Linked DNA regions of Drosophila melanogaster. The protein of the gene in region 1 interacts with the protein of each later gene in a pairwise test. Each region holds a gene or a part of one and is shown in the gene's direction. Other genes may lie near its edges. The genes, in order: aspr, Cpr35B, CG1792 and fkh.

Evidence for each region.
Region 2: the proteins of aspr (region 1) and Cpr35B interact in a two-hybrid assay, tested with the Drosophila melanogaster proteins (one large-scale study listed by BioGRID).
Region 3: the proteins of aspr (region 1) and CG1792 interact in a two-hybrid assay, tested with the Drosophila melanogaster proteins (one large-scale study listed by BioGRID).
Region 4: the proteins of aspr (region 1) and fkh interact in a two-hybrid assay, tested with the Drosophila melanogaster proteins (one large-scale study listed by BioGRID).

The regions. Positions count from the first base shown.
Region 1 is NC_004354.4:20,145,880-20,154,401, forward strand, and holds the start of aspr (asperous), read left to right. Parts: upstream 1-2,244; 5' UTR 2,245-2,379; coding exon 2,380-2,382; intron 2,383-4,182; coding exon 4,183-4,357; intron 4,358-4,718; coding exon 4,719-4,957; intron 4,958-5,065; coding exon 5,066-5,147; intron 5,148-8,318; coding exon 8,319-8,522.
Region 2 is NT_033779.5:14,423,269-14,426,935, reverse strand, and holds Cpr35B (cuticular protein 35B), read left to right. Parts: upstream 1-1,746; 5' UTR 1,747-1,804; coding exon 1,805-1,816; intron 1,817-1,878; coding exon 1,879-2,523; 3' UTR 2,524-2,621; downstream 2,622-3,667.
Region 3 is NT_033777.3:31,613,932-31,618,551, forward strand, and holds CG1792 (uncharacterized protein), read left to right. Parts: upstream 1-2,371; 5' UTR 2,372-2,470; coding exon 2,471-2,590; intron 2,591-2,643; coding exon 2,644-3,341; intron 3,342-3,417; coding exon 3,418-3,528; intron 3,529-3,590; coding exon 3,591-3,780; 3' UTR 3,781-3,906; downstream 3,907-4,620. Other genes in the region: Med (medea), read left to right, coding at 4-286, 348-516, 573-699, 759-970; Mnat9 (microtubule-associated Nat9), read right to left, coding at 1,470-2,072; pasha (partner of drosha), read left to right, coding at 4,607-4,620.
Region 4 is NT_033777.3:28,579,848-28,587,393, reverse strand, and holds fkh (fork head), read left to right. Parts: upstream 1-2,129; 5' UTR 2,130-2,840; coding exon 2,841-4,373; coding exon of another isoform or gene 4,374-4,919; 3' UTR 4,920-6,418; downstream 6,419-7,546. UniProt on the Drosophila melanogaster protein: Fkh promotes terminal as opposed to segmental development. In the absence of fkh, this developmental switch does not occur. The nuclear localization of the fkh protein suggest that fkh regulates the transcription of other, subordinate, genes.

The DNA.
Region 1 (8,522 bases):
TCGACTAGACGTATTTTAGTTTGGCCAAGCTTCACCTCAAAAGCCAACCCATCCAGATGAGATTTTGTGAGGATGGAGGGATGGATGGTTGCTCGCAGGTGGTGTGTATTCAAATTAATAATGCCAAATTGATTATAAAACATTTGTCAATGGCAATCTGCCGGGAATGACCCGTCCGGAGTAGAATAGACCCCACGAAAACACACACAGGGCACAAGGCACCATGATGGAATATGATTGATATTGGGCGGTATGAATTATGAGGAGGCAGGGGAGTGGCTCCATTTCGGTTTGGGATCCAGGATCCCGGACAACCCAATCCATCAGGGCAACCTGTCGCGCGACCTTGACTGGCTGTTGGAAAGGAAAGGAGACAAAATATAGGCAGCTAAAATATGGTAAGCTAAGTGTTGGCCCAGAGATTTGTAGGCCAAGACGGTATAATTAAGTTGGCCCAAAGAACAGGTGCCCGTATCGGTCGTCAGGTGAATTCTCATTCAATTATGGCCAATTGGCGTACGTTTCAATTTGCAGTTTAATCTGTAATATTCCCATATCGATTCGATTTGCGGAGCTTAAGCGATGCCATTCAATGATGCCATTTCATTTGAAAATGGTAGTCGATTGCAAATTGGCAAATGGTCATTATCTTATTGCTATAGGTCAAACCATCTCTATTATTCATTCTAACCAATGCCCACGCAGCCAGCAGAAGTCAAGATTCTCGTTTTAATTGGCTCGATTCCAGTGCAGATTCGTTTGTTCTTAATCCGTTCTTTTTGATATCGAATGAAAGTGGAGCCGGTCTTGCTAAGCTTATATTTTAAACTCGAATGCCATTGAAATGGACTTAGGAAACGGTAGAGTGAGTTAGTGAAGATGTTCAATGAAATACCCAATTGGCTTATTGTGTGGTATGAGTGAATCGGAATACCTCAAGCTAATCAAGAATATTTACGGCCTCTCAGTTTTTTTTTTTTTTCAAATTTTATTTTCTTTCATTTATGTATATTCTCTTTTCGCTTACTATTTGAACGGAAATGGGCGATTTTTTGTTCTCCTCAATTTCCGACATATTTCAGATTGAAAAATATGTAAATTCGTGAAATTAATTAAATTTTGTAATGCGATTATCTACATATATCTTATGCCCAATTAAGAAGAAATAGAAAGAAGAAAAAACCTTAGCGAAATGACCATATTGAATATTTCCCCCAGTTAGTAGTAATAGGCATCCGGTGCGGATAAGATACATTCTGTTTGAAGAATCGGTATAAATTATAGTATAATAGATTTGTAAATTTAAATGACATAACTGTCTTTTAAATCCTACAAAGATAAAGAGTCGCTTAGTTTTGGATGCTTTCAGAAATATGTGTGTACATATATTACCAGGTACCGCCTAGTACTAGCGACCTGCCCATTGTGTCAAGTGGGCAATTTCTTCGTTCACAGCCAAGTTGCCTACGATCCGGAGCCGTGTTTAGTAGGAAGCCCAGCCAAGTTCGACCCACGGCACTTGGATGCAGCGGCCCACGCAGAAATCGAGCCATCATAGCAAAGGCATGACCAAAACAATCCGAAGCAAAGTCGCGTCAAGTACGCGTATATAAATAGCCCGATGCCCAGGCAAATATATGTATATATATGTATATGTATGTGTGTACGAATGACTCAGTCTGAGAAGCGATTTGGACTGAAATGATTTTAGCTAAAATCGAGCAGCACAATATACAAAGTCAACAAACAGCAAAACAAGCTTGTCAAACAGAGTTATGAGACAGAATGCTGGTGCATTGGGAAAAATAGTTTTCCAACTGACAGGCTGAACAAATATATATAACTAAATTAACTACTTCATCAATTTGATCTACTGCTTTCGTTACTCGAAATGTTTCTAGTTTAGCAAGTTGAACTTATGCAGACATAATGGTAAATTAGTTATAAAACTAATGAATTTGGTAAATTCCGATCTTTATTTTGTTAAAATTACAACAACTATTGGATGCTACTACCTGAGGAGAGATAATTTACTTTACAAATCTTTAATATCAAGCTATACTATAGTTTTTTCTCTGTGTAAGTGGAAGGGTTGTGGATGCGGGGTAGAGGGGAATTCGGGAAGGGAAGGTGAGCAGATCAGAGCAGAGCAGAGCAGCTGAGAGATGACGCCAACGTCGCTCAGCTGTTTCTCGGCCAAGTTAAGAGTTGCGGCCTTATAAATAGCCCAAGCTCGTCTAGAAGCCGACTCAGTTGAAAGCGAAGCGTGCCAAGTGGGAAATCGCAACCATTTATCAGTTGACACTTTTTGTTTTGTTTTTTATTTTACGTTCTTTATCTGCTGTAGTGCTAGTGTTTTCTAAGAACTGAACCCCGAAAATGGTGAGTTGCAGTGGGAATAACCAAAATCAATATGTATATATAAACGTGTGTTAAGGAATATATCCTTTTTTTTTTTTAAATCATCTAAACTGAAGCAATCTATCAACGATGGATAATTTATAAACAATTTTATAAAAGTAATAAAAATGGGTTCGATTTAAGGAAAGAATCTGAATCACGAATAAGTATATAGATTTAAACTTGCACATTTATTTGCTGTTTATTTTCTTCACCGCGAAAACTTAAGTGAAAAAATTACGCACAAAGGCAATACATAAAATATGCATTCAGTAAATGATACGTGAATGGAATATTGATGTACTTAAAGCAAACACGACAAAAAAAATATTCATTTCACAATGTAAGGACTTAACTTTGCTATTTGCTATTTACTTCCGGCTAGATGAATAGTGGTGAATGGATTTGCAAATACATCGAATGAACCAAGAAATATTCCCACATACTCGTAATGTTTCTGAAGCCCACGATCGGTTTATTCTTTTGAGTGTCTTCGATCTGCCTTTTATCTGCCCATTTTTTTGTTTTTTTTGGCGATGATCAATCACTCAACGCTTTTTAAGCTGCCCAAGTAAACATCAAGCCCATTATTCATTTGTTTGTGCACAAAGCCAAAAACACAAACCAATTAGTTTCTAGCACTTTAGCATAGCTTGTTATTTTAATTGCCATTACGAGAAGAGTAAAAAGTCCAATAGATTTGAATTGTTTACCTTTTTACCTACTTATGTTGAGCACTTAACATTTTCTTGCTCATTATTTAAATTTAGAAAGCATTAATTTAATCTAAACTCTGACAGGTTTTACGTTTTATTTAACTAATTCAAGATTGAACAGATTATATAGTTGACTATTTAGTTCTCGCCCTTCCAAAAGCAATTATTTAAATGTACATATGTATGTACATATATAATATAACAAATATGGCTCTGATTCACTTCACTTCCCTTGCGCAATGTAATCAGATTATAAATCACCCTGCAAGATGTGTGATTTAAGAAAAAAATCCAATTTCCTCCCTCGGTGGATCCATCCGTGCCATTTACGCGATGATCGACAACTTAGTTGATACGAACATGGACTACCATATTGGTCATTCAGAGTAATTCGAAAAGGCAGCCGACCCCCATTTGCATATTCTTATTGTATGCCGATATTTGAATAATTGTTTTTAGCCCGAATTGAGCTTCCAAAGAAGCGGACAACAAGTTTATCACCCATGTGTCATTCGCCAACAATGATCGCCACCTTGAGAGCGAAGCCATATCATCATCTCGATCGTCTCGTCTCGTCTCGTCTCATCTCCATGCCCAGTTAGCCCAAACATGGTGCCACCAGAATCCCACTGACCACTGAGAGTCCAAGTCCAAGCCAATGTTTGCTACCAAACAGCGGATCATCGAGTTAGTCATGTTTATTGGGCTTTTTCAGAACTCGAATGCGATTATGACACATAAACCGGCAAAGGGGGCGTGATACTCGCTTCTCGATTGAGATGTTTGTTCATATCGAATACTTTAGTGAATGAATCCCAATCCAGTTCAAACTCATTTCATTCGACTGGCTCTACGATTGACGCAGAATATGACATTTATCTTTGTATTACCGTTGTCTTTTATTTAGTTTCGTTACTAATGAGAACTAGTGAATGCACTCCATTTGGAGTTACTTCAAGTTAGTATTCAAATATATTCAAATATTATATTCATCTTAGATCGGTATCGTATTGAATTTAAATTCAAGTGATAGCAGCACTAATCGCAGCTGATCCTTCTCTTGCAGCAGCAGCTCCTGGTCGTGGCCCTGGTGGCGGTGGCCATCGCGTCCTTGCCCCAACTGGCCGCAGGTAAAAAGCTGGGGAAGCGCTGCGTGAACTGCACGTACCGCACTTACTACACCTACGGCGATGGGCGATCCCTGCAGCGGGTTGTCTATAGAGATCCGGTCTACACACGTGGTATTTACACAGCTTGCCTATCAGTATCCGTATTCGTAGTCTTACCGCACCAGCACGATGTACATAGGAGGAGAGCACCGCCGCCAGCACCCTGACCCCTGACCCTTGACCCTTGATCCTTGACCATTGACCCCGCGCCCCAAATGTGTCTGCAGTAGCTAACCCCTAACCCCTAACCCCTATATATATATAGTATAGTATATAGTATAGTATAGTATAGTATAGTATAGTATACATATGTATGTACATACCATACTCGTAGTAGCGTAGCATTAGAGATTAGATTGAGACACAAGTTCACCTGCGCACCAGTGCATCACCTCACCGCCTGTGCCTCTCTCCTCTCCTCTCGCCCACACAGCGCAGTCCTACGCGAGCGGATGCAGCGGTAGCCCGTGCGGCGTGAACGCCGTGTGCCAGGAGGCCTCCGGAGGACGGCCCGTCTGCTCGTGCCCGCCCGGATTCAGCGGTAATCCGCTCACCCACTGCAATCGCGGCGAGTGCCTGGACAACGTCGACTGTCGCGACAACCTGCAGTGCAAGGACAATCGCTGCGTTAATCCCTGCGTGGGTGCCTGTGGCATTGGCTCCAATTGTGACGTAAGTGGGACTTTTATGTCGCCAACACTCCTCCACGGCCAACTTCTGGCGCATTCCCTCGCATTCTGACCATCGGCACTCTACGCCACCTCCGCTTGCTCTTTCCAGGCCCGCAACCACGTGGCCGTGTGCAGCTGCCCCGCCGGCTACAATGGCGACCCATACCACGCCTGCCACCTCAACGATCCGGGTAAGTGCCTGACCACTCCACTACCGCCCACATGCCGCGGGGTAGGCGTGGCAGAGCTCAAAATCGATTAAAATGCCGGGTGTCATAAGAGTCGTTCGCTCAACTGGGAGCTGTTGAAATCAATCCGCTTCGATTGTGTATTTCGTTTCACGATTAAATAAATTAATTAATTGGGAAATCTGAGAAATGCACAATTTAAAGATATATGTACTAGTAGATGATCGAATCAATTAAAAGCTCTTAGTTCTTAACGCGCACATCTTAACATTGATTATGTACTAATAATATATGAATTACAATCATCAGCTGGTTAAAATTTTAATTAGCTAAAAGATGCAAGTGATCATACATGTATGTACATACATAGTGTGGATGTGAAAACCAAGCCGAGAAATAAGCCTTGACCACTTGAATTAAATCAAGGGCAAACAGGTTTCTTTACTGAGTTACATAACAATGAGATGAACCAAGAGGAGCGGAGTGTTTGCAGTGTTAAAATTATTGGCAATACACGAATGCACTTGAAAATTGGCATAATGCAATGCCTTGTCTAATAGAAAAATTTCAAACTAAATGAACACATAGATCGCGACATATTTGTAAACAATTTGTAAACAACTCATGTTGTTTATTATGTTTTATTTATTATTATTATTTTTTTTTTGCATTAATGCAAAGTGGACATACGACTGATTGTTCCGGAAATGCATAGATATAGACATGGATTGACATAGGTACATCGATTAATTAGCCCACTCGCGAATCCCTTCTCCACAATGAGGTGCTAGATAAGTGGCAAGATGACGTCGCAAATCCAAGTGGTATTGCCAAATTTGGTCAAATCTAGTGTATTGACAAAAACAGGGGGCTGGGCCTCTGGACAGCATGTGGGTTTACCTTGCTTGCATAACATTTTGCACTCGATGATAATGAGAATTATAATAATAATAATAATAATCCAAAGCCAACGGCCAACGCCCAACACTTGGGGCCTTTGTAATTTTATGGTAATTAGCATAGCATTTCGCTTCGCAATTGTCAAGATCAAGGACGCAGTGGGCGAGCTCTCAAGGCCAACGAGTGTCCGTAGTCGAGCCTAGTAGAGCTGGAATCCGACGGAACCGAAAGGTGGCCCCGGTTAGGCACCAGTCAACATCCGATTATGGTCATAAGCTGCGCAGGTCGGCCAGCTACCATTCAGGTAGCACAGGTCGGCCGAGTGGCTTGGGAATTTCGCTGGAAGAAGACAACTTGATCCACCCGGGGGCTACACTGCAAGAAACTGATTGAAAAATATCATCTTTAGAACGACAAACTGAAGCACACTGAACGTAATTTGATCGGCTTAAATATTTAAGCGTTCTAAATGGGAATAGTAACATTTCCAAACACTTCATATTCAGAACTTGCCATAAATAGTGGCTAAGCGCAGGTTCCGTCATTAGTTGAAATAATTCCTGCTGGGAATTTCTTAACTATAAATATTAAAATTAACACATAATTGAAAGCTTTTTTCTAAATTGTGACCGTGAAAGTTGAGCGGTGTAAATGTCACTAGGACCTGCTTGTTTATTACCAACATTCTGGCTTTTATACGAACGGACAAACGCACATGTTCAAAAGGCAAATTAACTAGAACTTCTAACCAGGAAATTATTTGATGGGTGGGGGGGGGGGGGGGGTCTTCTACCTCAACGAATCTATTATATTCCTTAACTTTTAACGCCAATATTGAGCTGCTAAATATTATCTTTGGCTTGAATTTCTTTAAAATAAAGTCAGTTGAAAACCAATTTCAATTGCTGTCCGTCCAAGAGTCGGCGTCAATAAATTGCATCTCTACGTTGGTTGCTCATTCGGGATTCGTGTCGAGTCCAAGGGCCTGGCATTTCTCGCCCCTTTTCCGATTTCTGCATCTTAACTGGTCCTCCGATATACATATATTCTTGATTTCACTTAAATCCCTTTCTGTGTTGCCTTTACTCCGGCCTCCGTTTGCGTGCAATTCCCATTGAAATACAATATTTATTTGCATTTCCAATTAGCAACTGACTTGGAAACAATAATTGCAAACGAACAGTCTGCGGGGAATGGAAGTAGCTCGGATTCCCTGCTCCATGATGTTCCCTGCTGCCGCCCCAAGGACACCGGATTCTTTTCCATTCATGTTCCTGGGGAGCCGAAGCAGTTGCGATTCCCTTTGGGCGTGTTGCAGACCAACTGAAAACATTCACGGACATTTGCCTTAAAGATTTCGTGCAGGAATACAAATGAATTGCTAACATTTAAAGGTCCACAATGCGTTTGCCACGCCGATAATAAAAAATAACTATTTGGTTAGCTATATATTTCGAAGAAAATCTACCAATACATCGATTTAATGTCGACGACGAGCATTTCCGACTTTCGTTGCAAGACATTTTGCAATCGATTTTCAAAACCGAACTCCACATTTCATTACAATACATTTTCCCGGCGCGGAAAAGTTGCTGCTTCTCGCAAATTATGTCAAAAGGAAATGTAAGAGAAAAGGCCTGATAATGGCGAAACTTTTGCCATCGGAACGGAAAACAACGCAAACTAATTTCTTGACTTGCTCACCGCACCACCACCATCATCATCATCATCATCATCACCATCATCATCATCATCATCTTGAACGACGAGTAACAACAATTGGTGCAAAAATAAAAGAAAATATGGGGTAAAAACCAAAAATATGCGCATAAATGAGCCCGGCTATTTGAATATGATTTTCTATTTGCCCACTTTGAGTGGCCGGCCCCCAATTATTGGCCCCATTGGAGGTATTTTCCCGATTTGACCGGAACACAAGTCACATGACCCGGCATAAATCAAAAATGGGGCAGCAACAGCGGATGTTGACAGGGGCCACAACCCCCAACGATGGTGAAAGGTGAAAGGTGAAAGGTCGGGTGGAAAACAACTTCCTTCGTCGGCCGATTGAACTTTTCATAGACTCAACTAAATCGACACTTGAACTTGGCAATATAGCACTTACTTACTGAAAAGTCTTGCTCAGATGGAAATGAATCCATCATCGCCATGCCGCATTCAAAATATACTGTTGCAGACAGCTTTGTGGGCGAGTCTACGACACTGCTGTGTGTCGTCCATTTCCAAACATTAATCTCTCATTCCATTCCGCAGAGGAGCAGTGCCATCCCAGTCCGTGCGGCGTTAACACCAAGTGCGAGATCATCAACGGCGTGCCCACCTGCTCATGCGTTCACGGCTATGTGGGCAATCCGCTGAGCGGCTGTCGCCACGAGTGCGATCACGATGGCGACTGCAGCAGCCGGGACATGTGCTCCAGCAACTTCAAGTGCGTGCCGGCATGCGGGCAGTGCGGCA
Region 2 (3,667 bases), on another chromosome or scaffold:
TGCTGCTGCTGTTGATTATCCCTTGACAGGGCATCAAATGCGAAAACGACCGCCCAATTTACATACAATGCACATCAATCGAATGGGCTACAACTACAGTCCTGTCACTGCCACCGGGCACCTTTGTGGCATCATCGGTTTTCCCCATCGCCTCCTATTTTTTTTTGTTGTTGCTGTCCTGTATTTACCCTTTTACCCAGCCTTTTGGGCCCGGCAATCAAGCGTACTTGTTGTACGACTCCAGCAACTGGCCAACCGGCCAAAACGACCGACCAACCGACCAACAACTTTAGCGGCCATGACACAAAGATTGACAGCATGTCGTCGCTGTTTGGAAGCCTGATTGACATGAGTAATCAAGCAGCCGAAATGTGCCCACAAAACGCAGCCAGCAATGACACTGACAACGAAACCAGCCAACCAAACCACGCAGCCTTTCGTTTGCCCCTTTGACTGACAACGATGAGTCGACAGCGACGGCAACTGGCAACTTGCAACTTGCGACTCTCAACTTGCGGCAGCAACATTGCGGCTCTGTGCCACGTTCAGACCACTGCCATAAGGGCAATTTCGATGATGAAAGAAGGGGGCTTTCACTGCTCCCAGATCTCGACTTTTGGATGCATAAGCCCAGTTACCATAATCAGTATCAATTAAACCACAACTGTTGCATAAAGTTATCTAAACACAGCAGAAGGAGCATAATTTAAGGCATTGAGGGTACATAGAGGGTACCAAAAGTAAAAATAGTAATAAATACTAATAAATACTTAGCATCATATAACTGATGGTCCTTGAATCTGTTAGCCATGTTCTTCTATCCCTTCTTTCTGAACATTCTCATCCAATTATTACATTCCCAGCTAATTCACGCATCAAATGCAAATTGCATTCAAGTATGTTCCATCCAGCCACGTAGCTCTTCTTGCCAGACTTGAGCACTTTCAAAAATCCGTATCCTTTGCGGATTACAAAACAGAACCAATATCCCCATTGTCAACTCGAATGTGGCCTTTGATGAAGGCGACACGACATTGACAGACGGTAGCCGATTGACTGCTGACAGGCGGACTGGCGGGACAACAGTCCACCGAAAGTTGGGATCCCGATCGGGATCGGGAAACGGGACTGGGATTGGGATGGGATGGGATTGGAATTGGGATTGAGGAGAGCAGACAAGCCTTTCCGATCTGGCCAAAATGAAGAAGCCGCTGCCGAGGGAGAACTGCAAACTGCAATTCTGATGACTTTTTGTCAGGCCTGATTGACGTCAACGACTCGAAGACGTTTGTCAGGCATATAAATCTTTTGGCTCGTTTGTTTCTTGGCTATGCCCACATATACCAATCCCAATCCAAATCCGACTCCAAGCCGGGGGATTATAATGGCCGACAACGACAGCGATGCGATGCATAAACAATGCCACTTTAAATTGGCAATTGTTGCGACAGTAAATTTTACAATGAATTACTACACTGCCATTCTTTTCTTTCCTCATTTTTATGTTTATTTATTTTTTTTTTTTACGGATTTTCGAAACAACAGCTAAATAAAAGGGTCGAACTGGCAGTCGAATATAATTGCACGTCTCTGGGGCGAAAGTACGACCTGATCTTGAACTGCAAATTGGGGCGTAACTAAAGACCGATTTACCAATTCTTTTTTGAAAGTTTAACCTATGGGTTCGATTTATTCCAACTATAAAAAGGCCGGGTTAAAGGTGTTTTAGGTACAGTTCACTTTGGTCTGGAGATCAGACAACAGTAGTCTAGCTAAGATTAACTCATAAACTAGCTGCGGTACCATGGCTCAAAAGGTGAGTTCAGCAAAAAAGGATAACAACTAAAGCAAATTATTATTCACCTCGATTTTCCTTAGTTTTTCATCGCCTTTGCCCTCTTGGCCATTGCGGCTATTCGGGCAGCTCCTTTCCATGGCCACGAACACCACGGTCATCACGGTGGAGCCACCAGTCATGCCTCCGTGCATCTAACATCGCACGACGATCATCACGAGGAACATCACGGTCATCATCACGACCATCACGGGCATGATGATCACCATGACTCCCATGCTGAGTATGACTTCCAGTACGGCGTCAAGGATCAAAAGACTGGGGATGTGAAGTCACAGAGTGAGTCACGACATGGCCACACGGTTACCGGACACTATGAGTTGATCGATGCCGATGGCCACAAGCGAACTGTCCACTACACGGCGGACAAGCACAAGGGATTCGAGGCTCATGTCCATCGCGAGAAGCTCCACGATCACCACCAGGCGGAGCACCATGGCCATGGACACAGCGGCTACGAGGGCGGACACGTTGAGTTCGAGGAGCACTCCTCGCAATCCGGACACGACTATGGCCACGGACACGAGGAGCACGGTCACGGTCATGGTCATGGACATGGTCACGGAAGCAGCTCCCACAGCTATTCGCTGAAACAGGAACACGGACATGGGCACGGCCACAGCCACGGTCAGGATCATGGTTTCGAGCACGGACACGGTTACCATTGAGTTGACCCCTAAGCTATACAATTGTTTATCAATCGTTTATTGAACTCTTACCAAATACCTATTGTTGTTATACCAAAATAAATCAGGCAAATATTTTCAAAATTGAAATAATTATTTGATTTGAAATGGACAAGAAGTGTAACTAAAGTTTCCCTAAAACCTATTAAAATCGAATTATAAAGTTTCTATACTTACCAACGAACTATTAACTTAAAAAAGAAACAAATCACAGTAGATAGCTCTTTTCGATACATTTGGAATATTTAAACATTTCAAATTATTAGTGAAATTTTAGCATATTTAGCATATGGTGATTTATGAATTGAATAGGCAGGCATTCGCGACTCAACACCAAGACGAGAATCGCATAGACCGTAATTTGGGTCAGAATCAGTAATGTGCGACACGACAGGCGAGATATATCACAAATTCGATTATTATAAATCATATTTGTACAGTTTATCCATAAATTAGCCCGCATATCTATCTATTCGCTGGCTATTTCAGGTGGCTGAAACTTGTATTTTTTATGCAAGCATACACACATATTGTATATATGCGTGCACATGGCGATTTTTTATGGGCGATTTCTTTTCACTTCTAGTGGTGGCAATCGGGTTTTCGGAGTTGAAAGTCCTTTATTCATCCGCGCACACCCATAAATCAAATATATATATCTCCCTAGCATTCGCGAGTGCGTGTGTTTTTGTTTGTTTGTTGCTTTCCCCTCAGCCCGAGTTGGCTACAATTTGTTTAACAGACAGGCTCGGCACATCCTTGCGTTATCCTGTTGCCCTCGTTTGTTGCTGTATTACAAATGACTGTGGAATATTTATAAGCATCATAAATTTAATTTATGTCGCCGCTGCGCCCGCCGCGTTTATTGTGCGCATAATAAACGCTCCACAAAAATCCCTTCTCGACCCAACTCGACCGGGACTCCAGTTGCCTCTCGCTTCGTGTAATTTATTATTTTTATACGTTCCATGTGTTTGTGCGGCACGCACTTTCTACATTATGTAATATACGAGATATAGTGCGAAAATTGCAACAGCTATTACTTATATTTATTATGGCACTTTTTGCCGGATTTTTGTGCTTCTTGTGTTGCAAATAATGATTAATTGAGGTTCATTTTTTCATA
Region 3 (4,620 bases), on another chromosome or scaffold:
CAGGGAATTCGTCGCTTTCGGGTGACCTCGGCTCCCCGCAACAGACGCCTCCGCAGCAGCAACAACAACAGCAGCAACCACGCCTCCTGTCTCGCCAACCGCCGCCGGAATACTGGTGCTCCATCGCATACTTCGAGTTGGACACGCAAGTGGGCGAGACCTTCAAGGTGCCGTCAGCGAAACCGAACGTAATCATCGACGGCTATGTGGATCCCTCTGGAGGCAATCGATTCTGTCTGGGCGCCTTGAGCAATGTTCATCGCACTGAACAATCGGAACGGGCCAGGTGAGTACATCCCCCTGGGAGTAACTTGCAGAGCAGGGATTAATTACCAAGTTCCATGCAGGCTCCACATCGGCAAGGGCGTGCAATTGGATCTGCGTGGGGAGGGCGACGTCTGGCTGCGCTGTCTTAGTGACAATTCAGTTTTCGTACAAAGCTATTATCTGGATCGCGAGGCAGGACGCACACCTGGCGATGCTGTGCACAAGATTTATCCGGCCGCGTGCATAAAGGTTGGTGCAATCAAGAGAGTTTAATGTGATAGCTTAACATACATTTTCTCATGCAGGTGTTTGACCTGCGCCAGTGCCACCAGCAGATGCACTCGCTGGCGACCAATGCGCAGGCAGCGGCCGCTGCTCAGGCGGCAGCCGTGGCCGGAGTGGCCAATCAGCAAATGGGCGGCGGCGGAAGGAGTAAGTAGATGGAATCAGTTTGATTTAGGGAAAACTAATGTGTTGATGCGGTATTCCAGGCATGACAGCAGCGGCTGGAATTGGCGTGGACGATCTGCGCCGGTTATGCATCCTGCGCCTGAGCTTCGTCAAGGGCTGGGGACCTGACTACCCACGCCAGTCCATCAAAGAAACGCCCTGCTGGATCGAGGTGCACCTGCATCGCGCCCTGCAGCTGCTGGACGAAGTGCTGCACGCCATGCCGATCGATGGCCCGCGTGCCGCCGCCTAATCCGTATTTATTATTGGCCCACATCTATGCTAAGGACTCAGTTTTAGCGGCAGCTATCCGTCAGCTATTTGCGGATTTTGTGTTTTTCATTTGCAATTCTGATTACGATTATGTTTGCCTTTGATTATTTGATAATAATTTTTATAAAAAATTGAAACAACTTAGAAGTCTTAAGTATGCAGCTGTAAAGCACTAAGCATCTAGTTTTATGTACTATACTTAAATATACGCCCACACAACACCGGAGATACTGAACAAGCGGCCAATGTTTGTTGTCCATTTCCTGCCACGAAAATTACAAATTAAAAAAAAAAAAAACGAGAAGCATACACAGCATTACAATCATCCAAGCCACAGGGCGAAACAAAAAGAGACATCGATGCACCCATAAATACATTCATTTGATGTAAAATGCAGCATAAATAAGGCAAGCGAAACAAGTAGATGTAACATAAGTGTAATAAACAGACCGTGAAATTACGATTCTAAAGGCTTCTTTTCACTGATAGCACTGCATACGCAGATCCACCTGCTGGTCCAGCCAGTTGATCCAATCTGGAGTGATAGGTCGCTCCAGGGTGACCTCGTGGAAGATCTCCACTCGACGCGTCTCCACGAACATAAAACTCTTAAACAAATGCAGCGATGCAGCGTTGTCCATGTCGATCTTGACCTCGAATTTATCCAATTTAAGCTGGGGCTGCGATTGGGCGTACTTGAGCATGAGGAGCATGGCTTCCCTGCCGAATCCCTTGCCCCGTGCATAAGGTTCGGCAATCATGATTTCCGCCTCCGCCGTTGGTATCTGGCTATCGGGATCTTGGTGCAGGAAGAGATTGGTGTCGCCCACCATGGCGGCAATCTCATCCTGATCACGCGAATAAGTCTCTGCATCCAGGACAATGAAGGTCAGCTTGTCGCTGTCCTCCCTCCAACTCCTTTGCATCTCGTGCTCCTCTTCTAAGGTCAGTTCCTCGGATGCGGTCAACTCCCTCAGGGTCTCGTTGCTCATCCACTCGTGGTACTTGGGCACGTGGCGCGCTTCGTAGGGCACAAGGATGACCCTGTGACCCAGTATTTTGGTGTTCTCGTTTAGATGCATCCTTAAATTTGGAAAAACTTAGGAATATTCTACAATCTGGAAATATTTGTTATTGTAAGCTTGTTTACATCAATCAGCTGCTCAAGCTATATAGTGGCCACCTGAATCTACACTGTAAGGAATTCTCTTTGCGTAAGCACTGCAAATAAGGTAATATTTTTGAAATGAACTCTTAAATCGAATGGAGAAAAGCGAGTAATCAAATAAAGTAATATCAAATAATCAATCGAATTAAAAATTAAGATCTGTTCAGGAATCCCCCTTACGATGTTGTGGCAGCGGTGCCACATCTTCTTAGCTATAACAGTCTGGCATTGCCAAAGGAGCAACAATATGAAAAGCAGAGCAATTTTCTGATTAATTTTTTCTTAAGTGTTACTAAATAAATAAGTTTAAAAATGCCGAATCGTAATTGCCGGACTTGCGGCCTGTTCATTTTCTGTTCGACGCCCAGTAACCTCTTCGAGGAGCCCAATTCCGTAATGCTGCACCAGATCGAGGTTCTTACTGGTTTGTTTGTGAGTACCTTTCTATTTTTGTGTTTTCAAACTTAAGTCTGGATTATCCGTAGTTGCTCGGCGGACCCGGGAACGAGCTGCCCCCCTTTATTTGCTCACCCTGCGAATTGGACCTGCAGACGGCGATTGCTTTCCGGGAACGTGTGATTCGAACCCAAAAAACGCTGCAGGAAAGTCCCAACCTGGGGAACGCGGAATTGATCGAATCCTTCGCAGTTGGTGTGGAGAAGGAGATTCAGTACGCTGAAGAGGTCACCGAGATCGAGGTTATAGACCTTCTACCCGAGGAACACCTGCTGGAAGAGACGGAAGAGCCGTACGAAATATGTGAGCAGAACGAGCAGCCCCAAGTGAAGGTTCCTGCGCAGGAGAAGAAGCTCCGCAGAAGTACAAAGACCACGCCCACAGTCTTTACCTCCGTTAAGTTTGCGGACAATAGCCAGGCCACGCGCACCCAGTGGAGCAGACTCACCGAGGACGAAGTGGTGGCCCTAAAGCGGGAGCGACGCAAGCGGGATTGCATATGCGAGCAGTGTGGCCGGCACTTCACCTGCCCCAGCAACTTCAAGTTGCACCTCCTCCGACACACCGGCGTAAAGAGCTTTGCCTGTGACCAGTGCTCCCAGCAGTTCTACACTGCTACGCTTCTGCGGCGCCACCAAGAACTGCATGCGGGGAATGCTTTGTTTCAGTGTCGCTACTGCGAGGCAACCTACAGCAACGCCAGCGGACGCATCCAGCACGAACGCATGTACGACAGAACTCGTTCCCATTCATGAAACGTCTAATGCTTTTCACATATTTCTGACCACTTTCCATTTCATCAGGCGCCACACGAATGTCAAGCCCTTCACGTGCAAGGAATGCAATAAAAGCTTTGCCATGAGCGGAAAACTCCGCACGCACATGCTGAGTCACACCGGAGTGCGAGCGTTCCAGTAAGATCTTAGTTACCTGAAGTTTTATTGAGGATCCTTGACTCTGTTTATCTGTTTTTCAGCTGCGACTCCTGCCAAGTCTCCTTCGTTCGCCGCTCCCACCTGACCTCCCACTATCGCTCAAAAGGTCACGCCCACACTTCAAGCGCCCAGGCGGCACTGGACAATCCTGTGGAACTGGACGTGAAGGCCAGTAACGGCATGCAGACAGGGGCTAAGGATGAGGCTTTACTAGGAAAAAGTGGATCTTAGGATAAACTGTACTAAAAATCAATGGATCCCCGATCTGATATTCGGATTAATACTCAATGCACTTAATATTAATCGAAAATGGAATATGTTCAAATATGGCTGTGTTGAATAAAAACTGATTTTTTCAAAATGGCCAATAGAGATTACCTTACTTAGGCTGCGCACTAATTTTTAGTTACATTATTTTTATGTTTTAAAATATAATAAAATCTAAATTCGAACATTGTTTACCGGCTTGGGGAGTAGCCAGCATTTTAAAATGTCATGAGCCTGGTCACACTGTCTTGCACTAAATAAATTAGGGGGCGTCTTTAAATTGCAAAATTTCTTGCAAAATCAGTAGAAAAGTGCTTGGAGCTGCTGTTACAATAGATCCTAAGACCAAACGTTCTTCTCCGGAGGATAATACCTGGAACCATCACTAACCCCAATTCAAAAGTGTCAATCTGTTTCCGCAAAACTGCATGTGGTGTTTGTTTCGCTTGTTTGGTTATTTTTCCCAACTAACATCCTCTCTCTAAAATCTCGATTTCGTACTTGAATTGCGCAGCTTTTGCTTTGGGATTTTGTCCGACAATTAGGCAGAATCCATAGCGAAAGACGCAGCAAGTAGCATCGTTTACAATCCGCGAAAGTGCAGTCGCAGAATTTTCCGGCGGGGCTTCTGGCTTAACCAATGTGGCACTTCCAATGAGAAATCAATTGCAAGGCGTTGGATGCTCTCAGTATTGGTTATTGGCGAGATTGGCCCCGGGACAGCATTACTAGACAGTTCCGATCAGTCCGCACTAAACCCCTCCCGCTTTAGACACACACATCCAATACAATGGCGGAGAAGCC
Region 4 (7,546 bases), on another chromosome or scaffold:
AGCCGAATACATCCGACTGTATCAAAAAGGCAGCCAATCTGAATCCGAATCGCAATGTAAATCGCCATGTGAATCCGACCTACAGTGGCGCGCTTTTAAAGCAAATAAATAAATAGATAAATGACTAAAGGTAAATAAGTACACATTTTTGGACTGCCTGGCATTACTATTTGCAGAGAGTCTACGCCAAAAAAGCACACATTTGATGCGCTCTGAACAACAAAAATACCTACCAACCCAACGCCCACACGGCAAACATTAATGAGCCAAAGCCACTTGAATTGCCTGTGAAATACAATAAAAATATTAAATATTTAAGCACATTACGGTTATTAGAAGTGCACATAAGGATTTGAGTACATATGTGCTCAGTCACCGAAAGTGTTTGATGTTTAATGATCATCACGATGGGATATAGATATCCGAGTGGCAAGCCAAACAATGTTAAACAGGTTAAATATTATGAATACCATTGTTGAGCGAAAGATTTTTTCCTGATTCAGTTTCGCTTATCTCTCAATCTTATCTAACCCATGGTTATTGTAAACAATTATTCAAACAATTTGAAGATAATCTTGAATATGATAAAAATATTACTCAGTAGTGCTTTTGTGAAGGGGAAACGGCTCTATATGACATAAGTCATTAGTCATTATAATTACTCGGAAATGGGGCGATCATAAAAATGTGATTTCTCCCACAAGCGAAATGTTTCATTACATTTCATTGATAATTTCAAAAATTCAATGTCTCAGCGCCTAGATGAAGGCTACAAAAAAGTGAGAGGAGAAAGAACTGCTGCATTGACAAATGGAAAAGTAATGCGGAAATTCCCCGCTTTTCCTCCCGCTCAGGTAGATCTTAATTGAGCAAAACATTCATTGAGAAACGAGACAATCGTCCTTTTATGACACGCAATAATGAGCCTGGCTCACACACATACACTCTCACGGATTGGCACACACTCGCACACGGACACACACACACAGGCACTCGCAGATACACTTGGCCAAGCGAAAGGGTTAAGCGGAATAGGAAAGGCGTCTATGGTTTATGGCCCGAAATTAGAATGCGTTTTATCCGGGACCATAAACGTGGATAAATTGCCAGGATACCAGGAAGTAGCTGCCAGCACGCGCTATCAATGAACTGTGGATGCTTATGTTTCGGGTATCTTAGGTAGGATGCAGTGGGATGCTCGGATGAGATGCGGCTGATGCTGGCCAGATGCAGAACTGGGTCACTTTCGCAATGACTTGCCAAAAAGGTGAACTGCGCCGCTGTTCTGATGATTTGCTGCTGCCGCTCGCGATGCCTCGCCACGAATGCGAATGGGAATGAATGAGAGTGACATTGGCATACCTTAACCTCAAAAGGGAAAAAGCGGTACGGATACGAAAAAAAACTGGCTGAAAAAACACACACAGATATTATTAAATGTCTTGTTTGGGAGCCAAACCCAGCCAAGCCAAGCCAGGCCAGGCCAGGCCAAAACACTCGGTCTTTTTGTTTCTCTCGAAAAACAGAGCGTCGTCGCATTCTCAGTCTCCCCAGAGATTCGGTCTCCAGAACCCGTCTTAATGGTTTTTTTTCCACATTTTTTCTTTTTATTTTCTGATAGCACGCTACGGCGAGAAGGAGAGCGAGCGATTATTGATCGCATTAGGGAAAATCGTTAACTGTAACATGGCGTCGCTCAGCATTAGGCTAGGCCACTGCGAATGTATCTGCAGCTGTATGCGTATCCGGTATCTCTGCCCGTGTATCTCTGTCCGCACCGCTGAGGGTGTGTGAGTGGAGGGCGTTGCTGACTGCGGCCTGGCCACGCCCCCCCAATGGCCAGTTGCCTGGCAACCGGCCCTGCTCTGTTGATACAAGAGGCCAACCGACCAATGCGCTTGCGCCGCAGCACCACTGTGTACGTAAGAGAACCGCCGCCTGTCATTGGTAACTCCGCCAGGGTGGTGGTGAGACGCACTATACCGCCGGGCCATTGGCGAGAACGAGTCGGAGCTGGTGCTGCCCGGGCGCGTCGCTGCTGCCGCTGCCGCCGCTGTCGACGCCGACGTCGGCCGAGGCACTTGAGCGCGGCTCGAACAATATTTGTTGGCAGCAAGCGCAAGCCAAATAGTAGACAAGCGTTCCCCTCTGCAAACAGTCACATTCAAGAGCTCAAGCCAAAGAGACACTCGAGCGGACCAGCAGCTAAAGCGGCAACGGCAACAGCAGCATCAGCCAAAGCAGCAAAAGCAAAAGCAGCAGCAGCAAAAGCAGCAGCACAGCACAGCACAACTCCCAGCTTCAGACTTCAGTGGCCAACAGCCAGCTAGATATTCACGTTCGTGCGTCGGTGTTTTGTGGCCGCTCGGTGCGGCAGACAACAAAAATCCCCATACAAAAATACAAAGAAAATACAAAAAGAATCGAATCATAACAGAAAATAAATATATATTTTATATGATTATCCCGCACAAATAATTAAACCACGGTGTGTGTTTACAAACAAAGCTTAGAATCAGAATCAGAATCGCAAACGGAATCAGAACCTTCCAGCCAACAAGTGACAAGTGCCGAAGTGCTCTCGATAAAATGCCAGATATATGCAAACCGATTGAAGCAGTGATAGTGCACTGAAATCACAGTTGATATACAATATATCAGAGTAAAGCCACGTTTTAAAGACCTCCTTTTTGATTTTCGTTTTAACTAACGCGTTGCAGAACGCGTTGCCTTTTCCATCGATCCACCAGAGGGCAGCGCCTCCGAAAGCCGGCAACATAACGGCGCAACTATTGAACAGCTTTCTGAAGGGTAGCCCCCACCAGACCACCATTGACATCATGCAGAAGCTCTACGCGGAGCCGCCTCCGAGCAGTGCTCCGGTGAGCATGGCCAGCTCGGGTGGCGGTGGTCCTCCGTCGGGCGGCGGTGGAGGCGGCGGCGGAGGAGGAGGCGGTGGGCCCCCACCGCCCAGCAATAACAACCCGAATCCGACGAGCAACGGCGGCAGCATGAGTCCCCTGGCTCGATCCGCCTACACAATGAACAGCATGGGCCTGCCGGTGGGTGGCATGTCATCGGTTTCCCCTCAGGCGGCGGCCACATTCAGCTCCAGCGTCCTGGACTCGGCGGCGGCGGTCGCCAGCATGAGCGCCAGCATGAGTGCCAGTATGAGCGCCAGCATGAATGCCAGCATGAACGGCAGCATGGGTGCGGCGGCCATGAACTCAATGGGCGGCAACTGCATGACCCCCAGCTCGATGAGCTACGCCAGCATGGGATCACCGCTCGGGAACATGGGTGGCTGCATGGCCATGTCGGCAGCGAGTATGTCGGCGGCGGGATTGAGCGGCACCTATGGCGCCATGCCGCCGGGATCCCGGGAAATGGAGACGGGATCGCCGAATTCCCTAGGCAGATCGCGGGTGGACAAACCAACTACGTACAGAAGGAGCTACACGCATGCCAAGCCGCCATACAGCTACATCTCACTGATCACCATGGCCATTCAGAATAACCCCACCAGAATGTTGACGCTCTCGGAGATCTATCAGTTCATCATGGATCTGTTTCCGTTCTACAGGCAGAATCAGCAGCGCTGGCAGAACTCCATTCGACATTCGCTGAGCTTCAACGATTGCTTCGTAAAGATTCCCAGGACGCCGGACAAGCCAGGAAAGGGATCGTTTTGGACTCTGCATCCGGATTCGGGGAATATGTTCGAGAACGGGTGCTATTTGCGGCGACAGAAGCGTTTCAAGGACGAGAAGAAGGAGGCCATTAGGCAGCTGCACAAGAGTCCGTCGCACAGCAGCCTGGAGGCCACCAGTCCGGGCAAGAAGGATCACGAGGACTCGCACCACATGCACCACCACCACCACAGCCGGCTGGACCATCATCAGCACCACAAGGAGGCGGGCGGAGCATCGATCGCCGGCGTAAATGTCCTGAGTGCAGCGCACAGCAAGGACGCGGAGGCCCTGGCCATGTTGCATGCCAATGCCGAACTGTGCCTCAGCCAGCAGCCGCAGCATGTGCCCACACATCACCACCATCAGCACCACCAGTTGCAGCAGGAGGAGCTGTCGGCGATGATGGCCAATCGGTGCCATCCGTCGCTGATCACCGACTACCACTCGTCGATGCATCCGCTGAAGCAGGAGCCCTCTGGCTACACGCCCTCCAGCCATCCGTTCTCCATCAACCGCCTGCTGCCCACGGAGTCCAAGGCGGACATCAAGATGTACGACATGAGCCAGTACGCCGGCTACAACGCCCTCAGTCCGCTGACCAACTCACACGCTGCCTTAGGCCAGGACTCCTACTACCAGAGTCTTGGCTACCATGCGCCCGCCGGAACCACGAGCTTGTGACATCACCAATACCCGCTGGCTTAAGGACGCGCGGAGCAGATGCTGCGCTCGCAGCAGCAACAGCACTTGCAGCAGCAGCACCAGCAACACCAGCAGCAACAGCAGCAGCACCAGCTGCATCAGCAGCAGCAGCAGATGCAGCAGTCGGCGCAGCAACTGACATCCGCTTCCAATACACCAGCAACATCAGCAAAGGCCAGCGGCAAGGCGGGATCGGCTTCGGCCTCGGGATCTGGGTCAGGATCGGGTTCAGGATCGGGCTCTAACTACTCACAGAAGCTGCAACAGCAGCACCAGCAGCAGCAACAACAGCAGGCGGCGGCGCAGCAGCAACACCACCAGCAGCAGCAACAACTGCTGCAGGAACTGCAGGAGGACTCATCGAACATCACCAGCGATCTGAGCGAGGAGCAACTGCAGCAGCATCAGGCCGCCCAGCAGCAGTTGTACAACAACTATCAGCAGTATGCCGCGGCGGCAGGCTACAGAAATTGGAATCACGGCCTGGCTTTCAATGGAGCCGCCGCTCTGCAGAATCTTCTGTAGCTATAGCTATAGATCCCGATCTCCACAGGCAGCGGCTTTGTAGCGGGCCTGCCAATTAGCGAGTGCAGTGGCGGTGGCTTTTAGCACCTGGCCGCATCCGCATCCGCACTCGCATCCTCATCCTTTGAGCACGTGAGTCTTGGGCCGCAACTCGCACTTGTACATATAGAGATACCTATGAAGAGCCGATCGAGAGCGCTGCCTTTTGTGTTGTTCAGTTCCAGTACTATATATTGTAGATTATATAGATTCTGTTCCGGGGGGTTATTAAATCGACATAGAGCAGGAGGAGGAGGAGCGAAAGAAACCGTGATGTAGTTGTAAGTGCAGCAGAACTTTTGTTAACAATTTTACGTTTTGCTAATACAAATACAAAATAATAATTCCGTGCCATTTGTTTTCGTTGTTTCGAAACAAGCAATAACAATCAAAGCGGTTATAACTGAAAATTTGAAATCACATTTTAAATGTATCCGATTAAGGAGAAGATTGAGGAGAGGAGATGTAAAGAAGGGATCGTGTGTAATGTTCTTTCATAAAACAAAGCCCCAAATGAAACAGTCCCAAAAAGAGAGATACAAATACTAAACCCTTTATCCAAAGGCAATCGCAATCGAATTCGAATCGCAAAAGATCAAAACCAAAAAGAAATCTAAAACCGAAATCATCATATTGAGCAGTCCAGCAAAACCCTAAGAATCTTCAACTATCTAAGCAACAAAATCTGGCCATGCATAAGAAAACGACACGTTTTAACTGAATAATTTAACAAATTTCCATTTATATATACGCGCATCGATATACGCCCATGTATCGCAAAATCCCGCATTTCATTTACATTATGTGTCTTCTGTTGTTGTACGAATTCGTTAGATTAAGGCATTTTGTAAATAATCTATAAATAGATACATTTAAGCAACCCCCTCCCCAAGAAACCCAATTTAACTAAGGACCCATTGCAAGCAACCAATTTTTAACTAACTCGAGAATTAATCAAATTGTATGAAATTATGCCACACCACTTGAAAGTAAACATAGTATAAATATAAATACTGTATAGCATTTAACGTTTAATTAGCATAAATAATGAAAGCAAAAAACAAAAATGAAAAAAAATCACATAAAAAGCGAAACTGCAATTATTATTCAATAATTTTTAATATTAGTTATATTGTGCGTAATGAAAAATAAAAAACCAATTGCAAACACAAAACAAAGACCCATTTTTACATTGAGCTAAGCTAATTAATTAAACTTGATAAAAAATAGTCTAAATATAAACACCCACACACACACACACATACTGACACTGACAGACACAGAAACAAATGAAAATTATTGTAAAATACACAATATAAAATTCAATAAATGTCAACGCAAGAATTAAAATCCAACTCTAAAGCTAGTAAAATTAATATTATTATAAATCATGCAAAACAAACACAACGTCAACGACAACCAAAATCGACTATTTTAATGTTTGAAATACAAGAAAAAGGAAAAAAAGTACCATAAATTAGTTTTCATTTCCCAACCTTTGTTGACTCAAGCAACTGACCTCCAACAATCATTTATATATTGATTGGGCCGCCCGGATGGCTGACTATCTCCATCGACGCTATCGACGCTATCAATGCAGCGAATTCGAATTGAACGACCGATAGCTGAGCTGAGTAGTTCCAGGAGTCGCTATCTTATCGCCGTCACTCAGATGCAGAGTGCAGTTTTCCACCACTACCATGCCACGATAAACCCTTATCGCCGTGCACTCATAAATTGCAACGGAACAAGAAGGTAAACAAACAACCAGGATGGGACATGGGACCCATCCCAGCCCATCCCATACCGTCCTATACCGACCCATTCCCGCCCGGACTTGACACACTGACTAACCCATCTCAGTCCAGCACAACCCAGCCCGATCCCTCTGGCCAAAAAGAGCGGGAAGGGTAGTGGATATCTTCTGCCCGACTTGACTCGACTCCCCTCTGTTTGCTTTCTAGTAATATTCATGGAGCACTACGAGCCGAGTTCGAGCACCTTCCCTATCGCTGCAATGGACCTTATCGCTGCAATATAACCCAACAGAGCCTGATCCGACGCAGTTCCCCCTGGCGAACTACTACCACCTTTTGATTAAAATCGGTGTGATTCATTTGGAAGAATCTACGATCCAGGTCCTACGATTCTCGGACATTCCGAAGACATTAAAATTATTGCTTATCTAGAGCTCGGGCATGAGCGTGTTTGACGAGCAGTTGTCGCTTTTAATTAAGCGAGAAGGTCACCATTTTCTATATGTCCATACGACACATTTTATTTATATGTATGTACATGTGTGCCTGTGGGGGCGACTGGACTGGCTTTAATACATTTTTTATAGCCTCCAAGCCGACTGGAGATGTTCCATAAAGAGTTCGCTTTGTTGTTTAGCTAGGGTCGTGCCGTCGACGGTATTGGATTGTATTGGACTGAAAATGGGTACGGCGGATAGGGGATAGGGGATTGGGGACTGTGGGATTGGGGACTGTGGGATTGGGGGACCTGGCGTATGGGCGACTTGGTCTGGGTCTCGGTCTCCAGCAAAAGCGACAACAAAATGGCGCTTCGTTTGTTGTCGCTTCAAT